Ovis aries: one gene and its partner. The protein of the gene in region 1 purifies or fractionates together with the protein of each later gene. This does not show direct contact. Links are inferred from orthologs where the notes say so. Each region holds a gene or a part of one and is shown on either strand. Other genes may lie near its edges.

Region 1 (4,363 bases):
CTCAGCCATAAAAAGGAACGAGGTCCTGCCTCACGCTGCAACATGGATGAGTCCCGAAAACATGAGGCTGAGGGAAACCGACCCGACACAAATGGCCACACAGTGTAAGACTCCACTAACATGAAATGCCCAGGACAGGCCAAATTCGTAGAAACAGAAAGAACATTAGTGGTTGCCTACAGTTTGGTGAGGGCAGGGCAGGGCAGGGGTTGGTGGGAGGGAGGCTGTGGGTGATGGCTAAGGGCTGTGAGGTTTCTTTTGGGGGTGATGAAAACGTTCTGCAATCTGTGGTGATGGCTGGTCAACCTTGGGCATGTACTAAAAACCACTGAATTGTACAGTTTAAAATGGCAGATTTGTGGTATGTGAATTCCATCTTGGTTAAAAATAATAATAATAAGAAATTTTACATGTGGTAACTTCCCTGGTGGTCCAGGGTAAGAATCTGCCTTCCAATGCAGGGGAGGAGGGTTCGATCCCTGGTTAAGGAACTGAAATCCCACATGCCTTGGGGCAGCAAAGACCCAACACAGTCAAAAAAAAATTTTTTTTAACGTGTTTAGAGCAGTAGACTGGATGCAAAGTAACACAAGGAAGGTGGGGTTTAGAATCAGAGGCCTAGGCTTGACAGGCTTCCCTGATAGCTCAGTTGGTAAAGAATCTGCCTGCAATGCGGGAGACCCCGGTTCGGTTCCTAGGTCGTGATGATCCACTGGAGAAGGGATAGCCCACTCCAGTATTCTTAGGCTTCCCTGGTGGCTCAGCTGGTAAAGAATCCGAAATGTGAGAGACCTGGGTTTGATCCCTGGGTTGGAAAGATCTGCTGGAGAAGGGATAGGCAACCCACCACTCCCTGGTGGCTCAAAGGTTAAATGCCTGGAATGCGGGAGACCGGGGTTCAATCCTTCGGTCGGGAAGATCCTGTGGAGAAGGAAATGGCAACCTACGCCAGTACTCTTGCCTGGAGAATCCCATGGAGGGAGGAGCCTGGTAGGCTACAATCCATGGGGTCACAAAGAGTCAGACACAACTGAGTGACTTCACTTTCACTTTTCACCCACCACTCCTGTATTCTGGCCTGGAGAATTTCATGGACAGTATAGCCCATGGGGTTGCAAAAAGTGTGACGGGACTGAGCGACTTTCACTTTCACTCCACGTTCAGGTTTGATAGGCTGTCTGAATAACCTCTTCCTGGAGCTGATTTATTCACCCATTGGTTTTGAGAAGGGACCATGAAATTAAGTGCAGAGGAGTACTTTGTAAACTGCAAGACAGCGGTAGTAGAAATGATGTAAGGGAACAGATGTCTCTGCGGGAAGTGAGAAGCTGCCGCACTCACTTCCCACCTGCAGGCCACTGGCTGCCGTGTAGAGCAGGGATTGTTAGAACCTTCTGTCTGCAGGCAAGATAACTCATGAATGGCCTCTCCTTGAGAGGGCCAGGGCTGTGAGGTTCAACCCTGCAGCCAGGTTGAGAAATGTTCCTGCCAGTCCCAACGAAACAGGCTGAAGAGCTGCCCACCAGAAGCCGGCCCGACAGGCAGGGCTGTTAAACCCCAAATAGGTCCTCTTCTCTCACAGACACACACAAACGTTATCAGTGTTATCAGTCAACTTCCCCCAGGGAGAAGGGGCCTGACTTGCCCAGATGCTGGCGGGGTCACTTCCTGGGCCTGCCTGCAGGGCCCTCCCCCAGCAGCCTCCTCTCCCTTCTCTATAAACAGTTCCCGTCTCCTCCTCCAGCTGCGGTGTCTACGGGTCAACACTCAGCCTGGCCACCGATGCTGAGTTTAGACCCAAGGCCCTAACTAGTTCTCCTGCTCAGAGGCCTGAGGCCCAGCCAAGCTCGGTCCAGCCCAGCTGTGCGCTCAGAGGACGAATTCCCCAGGGACTCCAGGGCAAGGAGCCAGGCCGGGTCACACGCAGACCCAGAGAAACCCGCACTGCTCAGAGAGGCACATTCAGCCCCCCAAAGCACGGGGGCGATCACAGGAACCCCAGAATCGGCCTCAGCCATACAGCCAGCTGCACATAAACAGCCAGCCTCAGGCGATATCAGGGACAGGAAGAGCCCAGATTGAGCTGCACACAGAGACCTAAGACACTGTCACCCAGCACCCTGAGCTCACTGTCACACAGTGACAAGGGATTGCCACTCACACCCACAGCCAGGGGCGTGCACTACAGAAACAATTTCACACCTTCACGGGGCACCCCTGCGGCTTCTCCCCCCAGCACTACACAGGCAGGGGCCCCAGGGGACAGGCCGGAACACACAGGAAGAGACACACAAGGTCCGGAATCTCAGAACCGGCATCTCAGGCAGTCTACCCAATCAGCAGTTTCAGTCTCAGGACAAGTACCCTGCAGAGTCACCCCTGATGGGGCGAGGGGGCAGTATCACACATTTAGTCACCCCCCAGACGGGGGTCACACTTACACACAGTCACCCCCCACACAGGACTCACACACACACAGAGTCAACCCCAGACGGGGGTCACACTTACACACAGTCACCCCCGACGGGGGTCACACACAACGTCTCATGCACAGTCACCCCCAAACAGGGGTCACACACACAGAGTCAACCCCAGATGGGGGTACACCGGCACTGCACAGTCTCACTGCAGTCACCCCAGGCCGGCAACCCAGGGGGTCGTCCAGCGGGGTCCCCGCAGGCCCGAGGACCCCTCAAAGCTGTCCCGGCGCAGCCCCCGGCGCCCCGCGCCCCGCACTCGCGGCCCAGGCCTCGCGCGGCGGCTGCTCCGCCGGGCCAGGGCCGCGGGCCCGGGGCTCACCTCGCTGTTGCTGGCGGAGGAGGAGGCGGCGCTGGGCGTGGGCGAGCGCTGCAGGGTCACCAGGGCCATGGCTGCGGTGCGGTACGGCGCCCGGGCGCCGCTGAGGCCTCCGGCTAAAGCCGCCGCCGCCGCCCGGGCCGGGCCCGGGGCGCTCCAGGAGCCGCGCGCGGGCGGCCGGGCCGAGCCGGGCCGGGCCCGCCCCTCCCCGTCGGCGTCCGCCGCCGCCCCCGCCCCCCGCGCCGGCGCGCGCCGGGCCTGAGCGCGGGCGGGGGGCGTGGCCCTCGCGGGGCGCGCGTGCGCGTGCGCGGCGCGGGAAGCCCGAGGGGCGGCGGGAGGCCCAGGCCAGCCAGTCACATCCCTCGCGCGCACCCGACGCGCGCTCCCGCTCCAGCCCGCCAAGCGGGGGCGCGCCCGACGGCGAGCAAGTCCTCCCCAAGAGGCCCCTCCTCTGCGCAGGCCGGGGAAACTGAGGTTCCGTGGCCGCGCAGCTTGGAATGCGCGGAGCAAGCAGGCATAGAGACAGAAAATAAAAACATGCTCGTCCCTGCGCCTTGAACCTCGAGGAGGGGTCTGCATAAATTCGTTTGTTCGTTCATTCATTCGTTTATGAAATATTTATTGAGCACTTATCAAGTGCCCCGCGTGGAGTATTCGACAGTAAACAACATAGAATTGACCTGCCCTAGGGGATTTGGCTCAGATGGTAAAGCATCTGCCTACAATGCAGGACACCCGGGTTCAATCACTGGGTTGGGAAGATCTCCTGGAGAAGGAAATGGCAACCCACTCCAGTATTCTTGCCTGAAGAGTCGGACACGACTGAGTAACATCACTTTCACTTTTCAGGGGATTTTATGAAAGTAAATTAAATTGCTAGAAACTCACTTTGCCCATCTTTTTTTTTTTTTTGCCCATCTTTTTATATGAATTCCCACCATGTATCCAGAAACTCAGCTAACTCCTTGGGAAGTTAGGGAGGGTGTCTCCAAAAAGGGTGCATTTGCTCTCAGACCTGGCGGATGAGCAGGATTAACGGGTGAGGGTGGGAGTGGACTGCTGGGCGTGATCTCCAGGGGAGAGCCTGCACAGTGGCCGGAAACGGAAAGATTTTCATCAGCCGCTGAAGCCCAGGGATGGGGAAGAGGGAGTCAGGGTGCTCTCTAGAAAGCTCTGGCTAAGGCTTAGAGAATGGACTGTGGAACAGAGGCGTGAAGGGAGGCCCGGGATAGGCTGCTCTTGTTGTCCTGGGGTAGGTGGCCAGTGTGGGGATGGGAGAGAGAGACATGGAGGAAGATACTAAGAGGGCGGCTTGACTTAGCGTCAGTTTCACCCAAATCCCCTACTTCTCTTCTTTCACCCAGCCCAAGCACGCACGCAACCGCAAATTTACTGGTCCAGTCCTTGTTCCGTGCATCTCACTGCCAAACCAGCAACACAGGCAGCCTGGGCGATACTCCCGCTCTTTCCCGTAGATCCAGGGGCTGGGACCTCCTCCATATTCCCTCAGTATCATTCTTCTCAACGGGGTTTGTGGCGGGTTGGGGGGTGGTTTGGACTTTTTTTT
Region 2 (3,812 bases), on another chromosome or scaffold:
CTTTACTCCTGTTATTTATACTTAGAGACACATCAAGACCTCCAGTCTCTTTTCTTTCATCTTCTCCCAATTTATCAGTTCCTCTCTTTGCTTCCTGCTTCCTTTCCTTCTTACCCCAAATCCCACAATCTAGCACACAGACTTCTCCCTTCAGCACTCTCAACCTCCTCATTTCCTCATCCCTCTGAAACACCAACCTGAATACCGACAATCTTTAGTCTTCGTTCCAATGTGTTTGAAGGTAATGGTCACACTGGTACCAGCTCACCACTTTCTATGTGATCCCAGGTATGTTAATCACTCAGAACACCCGTCTTTATCTAGGAACTAGAATAATATCTACCCTTTACAGGGTCATTTAAAGATTAAATACAGTAACTTGCACACATATTTTGTAATTCAGAAATATATCATGTAAGTCAGCAAATGCTGTTTCCCCTTTCCCTCTATCCACCAAATTCACTCCATGCTAACTTTGTGACAGTTTTTTTAATTTCTCCCACTGTATTTTTTTGTTTGTTTTCCACTGTACTTTTAAAAGTGTGTTTAGAATCAGTTTCTCAACACTCAACGGGGGGGGGGGGGGGGGGGGGGCTACTCTATGCCTAATAGGATGCTTAGCAGTAACCTCATCTCTACCCACTCAAGTTGTGAAAACCAAAAATGTCTCTACCAAATGTCCTCTGAGGAGCAAAGTCACTTCTGGTTTGAGAACCAGTGCACTAGATTAAACTTTCTTGACCAAAAGCCACAGCAAGAAAAACATTACACATCAGTGTAAACCCACATATAATATCTGAGACAATAAACTTACCAATACCTGACACCCTCTGATATTTTCTATTATAAAAACTGACTAGACCTATCTTTCATAAGGATATTAACTATCTCATTTTTGTACCCATATTACCTATCAACTGATGTACATAACAGGCACATGAATACTGGTTAAGCTGTCCAGAATGGTAATTTCAAGGTACTCAATGAAGTATTTTGTAGTCACCACAATAGAAATAATGATTAAATTAGTTGTCTACTTGTGTGGTGCTCTCTGCAGCTTTCAGGAAAAAAAAAAGTCTTCTCTCTCCTAAAATACTGTATAGCCTCTAATTCTCAACCCAGATGAGTAAAAGATGTAAATCCAGTAAAATATAAAATATACACTACACAGGTATACAACAATGTGTGTACTAGGCTAAGGTCTCAATAGTCTAACACCTCAGACATCAATCTTTGGGCTTCCCTCACAGCTCAGTCAGTAAAGAATCTGACTGCAATGCAAGAGACCTGGGTTCGATTCCTGGGTTGGGAAGATCCCCTGGAGAAGGAAATGGCAATCCAGTCCAGTATTCTTGCTTGGAAAATCCCATAGACAGAGGAGCCTGGTGGGCTACAGCCCATGGGGTCGCAAAGAGTCGGACATGACTTAGCGACTAAACCACAGGATATGACAAGATATGTCTAGGATATGCAGGCCACCCAGTAACTCAGACAGTAAAGAATCTGCCTGCAATAGAGGAGACCCAGGTTTAATCCCTGGGTTGGGAAGATCATCTGGAGAAGCAAATGGCAACCCACTCTAGTATTCTAGCCTGGAGAAGCCCATGGACAGAGGAGTCTGGTGGGCTACAGTCCATGGGGTCACAAAGGAGTCAGAACACAACTGAGCGACTCTAACACTAGGATGTAACAATCTCACCATTTGCCGATATTCCCGAATCATTTTTAGTTTGTCTTCTCCTCCCTTGTTTTCTTCTTTCTGTTCAATGCTGCTGATTATTCTCCAGGAAGCTCTTCTAGCTCCAATCACATTTTTATATGCAACAGATAGGAGGTTTCTTTCTTCAACTGTCAACTCCACATCCATCCCTGCTACTTTCTTCATTGACTCCACCATTTCTATAAGTGAAAAGAAAAATCAGACCTTAGAAACTAAGTTTTGTTAAAACATCCCTATCACAGTAAATCTTTTTTTCTGTCCAGCTAATGTAAAACAAAAGACACATTTTTTAGCAAAATATTGCTTTCACAATCAAACTAGCATGAGCAAAAAAACTAAAAAACATGTAAAAGACAAAGTAAATTAAGAGCTCAGAACAAGAGGATCTAGAAAATGACTTCATATAGTACCAAGTATAATTTAGTATGGCTTGGAGGCATCTCTCTCATGTAAGTAAGACAATTAGGCATGTACACCTAACCCATTTCCTAGTAAAAGTAATTCAGCTGGCCATTTAGGACAAAAGTTTTAAATTTACAGGCTCTAAAATGCATTTTCTCTCAAATTATTTCCCAACTAAATAATACTGAATTCCTACCCCCCCAAAAAAAAGTCATGGGAGGAAAGGGCATTCATTTATATAGCAAACATATAGCGAGCATTTTCGTTAGTCACAAACTTATCTTTGGATTTTCCAATCCTTCCTCCTTTAGAAGGGGACTGTCCACCACCTATGAATTCATTCATTTGGGTGGTTTTTACTTGTTACCACTAGATGGCGAGCAAACAAAGGGGCCCAGATAAACACTGGGAGATCTTGAGTACAGGGGGAAAAAATGTAATAAAATGCATGTGAATGCAAAGGAAGAACCAAAATCCCCTCAAGAAACACTAACTGAACAAATAATTAATGAAGGGACTTCCCTGGTGGTCCACTGGTGGTCCAGTGGCTAAGACTCTGTGCTCCCAATGCAGGGGGCCCAGGTTTGATCCTTCATCAGGGAACTAAGATCTGATACGGGCAAAGAAATAAATACAAAGAATTGCAAAGAATTAAACAAATATATTAATTAAAACTATGGTTTTGAAAATGACTAAATGTCGTTACCACCATGTGACTTCCAACTTTACAGAGTAAGAACTTTTGGTAATGAGACACAAGGATCTGCATTTTACAAACATCCTTAGCATACATTCTATGCATAATACATAATAAGTATATGCTGAAGATGGTGACTTTATGAAACACTGCTTAATGATATACTAAATTATGTGTAATCCCACAAAATGATGTTTTCAAAAATTGTATTTCCAGGAAGTATATCAGGGAGTTAATACAGTAAGTTAATACAAACATTAAGATGGTATGATCTCTAGAAAACAGTGTAGTTTCTTACACCATAAACTATACACATGTCCAGAGCAACTTTATTTATCACATTCAAAAGGTGAAAACAACCCAAATGTCCATCCATACAATGGAATACTACTCAAGAATAAAAAACTACTGATACAAGTAACAGCATGGATGAATTTAAAAAACACCATGCTAACTGAAAAAAGCCAGACCTAAATGGACTATGATTCCACTTAAATCGAGTTAGAGAAAAAACTGTAAAACTATAAAAGGAAGTGGCTATCAAGACATGGGGGTGAAGTGAGGGGCTGATGAGCAAAGGAGTACAAAGGAAATTTTGGGGAAATAGAATTGTTCTATGGTGGTTACACAACTGAACACATTTACTAAAACAGTTTTATGTGTAAACTGGGTATATTATAAAATCTTACTTCAATACCGCTGAATTTTTTAAGGCGATTCTGAAGCTTAAAAAAAAATACCAGAGCATATACGGTAATAAGACCATTAATTCATTGTGGGAGCCTGAGAGCATTCACTTGAAACATCCAATTTTTTTTAACCACAGCCATGGAAAAATGACTGTGGCAGTGTTTAGGAGTTAAGGGGTATCATTTCAAGCTCACTGCCACACTAGTTCTCCAACAAAGCAATTTAAAAAGCAACCTAGGGCTAAGGTAAAGGTAAAAGCTAAGGTTACTAGGTAAGGAATCCACCTGCCAACGTAGGAGACAC

Evidence for each region.
Region 2: the proteins of SSH1 (region 1) and YWHAE purify together in Homo sapiens (affinity purification with mass spectrometry; 3 studies listed by BioGRID and IntAct, with this or other methods). This does not show direct contact. The link is inferred for Ovis aries from reciprocal best matches to the Homo sapiens genes SSH1 and YWHAE.

What each region holds. Positions count from the first base shown.
Region 1 is NC_056070.1:64,290,415-64,294,777, reverse strand, and holds the start of SSH1 (protein phosphatase Slingshot homolog 1), read right to left. Parts: upstream 2,955-4,363; 5' UTR 2,869-2,954; coding exon 2,800-2,868; intron 1-2,799. UniProt on the Homo sapiens protein: Protein phosphatase which regulates actin filament dynamics. Dephosphorylates and activates the actin binding/depolymerizing factor cofilin, which subsequently binds to actin filaments and stimulates their disassembly.
Region 2 is NC_056064.1:22,417,734-22,421,545, forward strand, and holds part of YWHAE (14-3-3 protein epsilon), read right to left. Parts: intron 1,900-3,812; coding exon 1,700-1,899; intron 1-1,699. UniProt on the Homo sapiens protein: Adapter protein implicated in the regulation of a large spectrum of both general and specialized signaling pathways. Binds to a large number of partners, usually by recognition of a phosphoserine or phosphothreonine motif.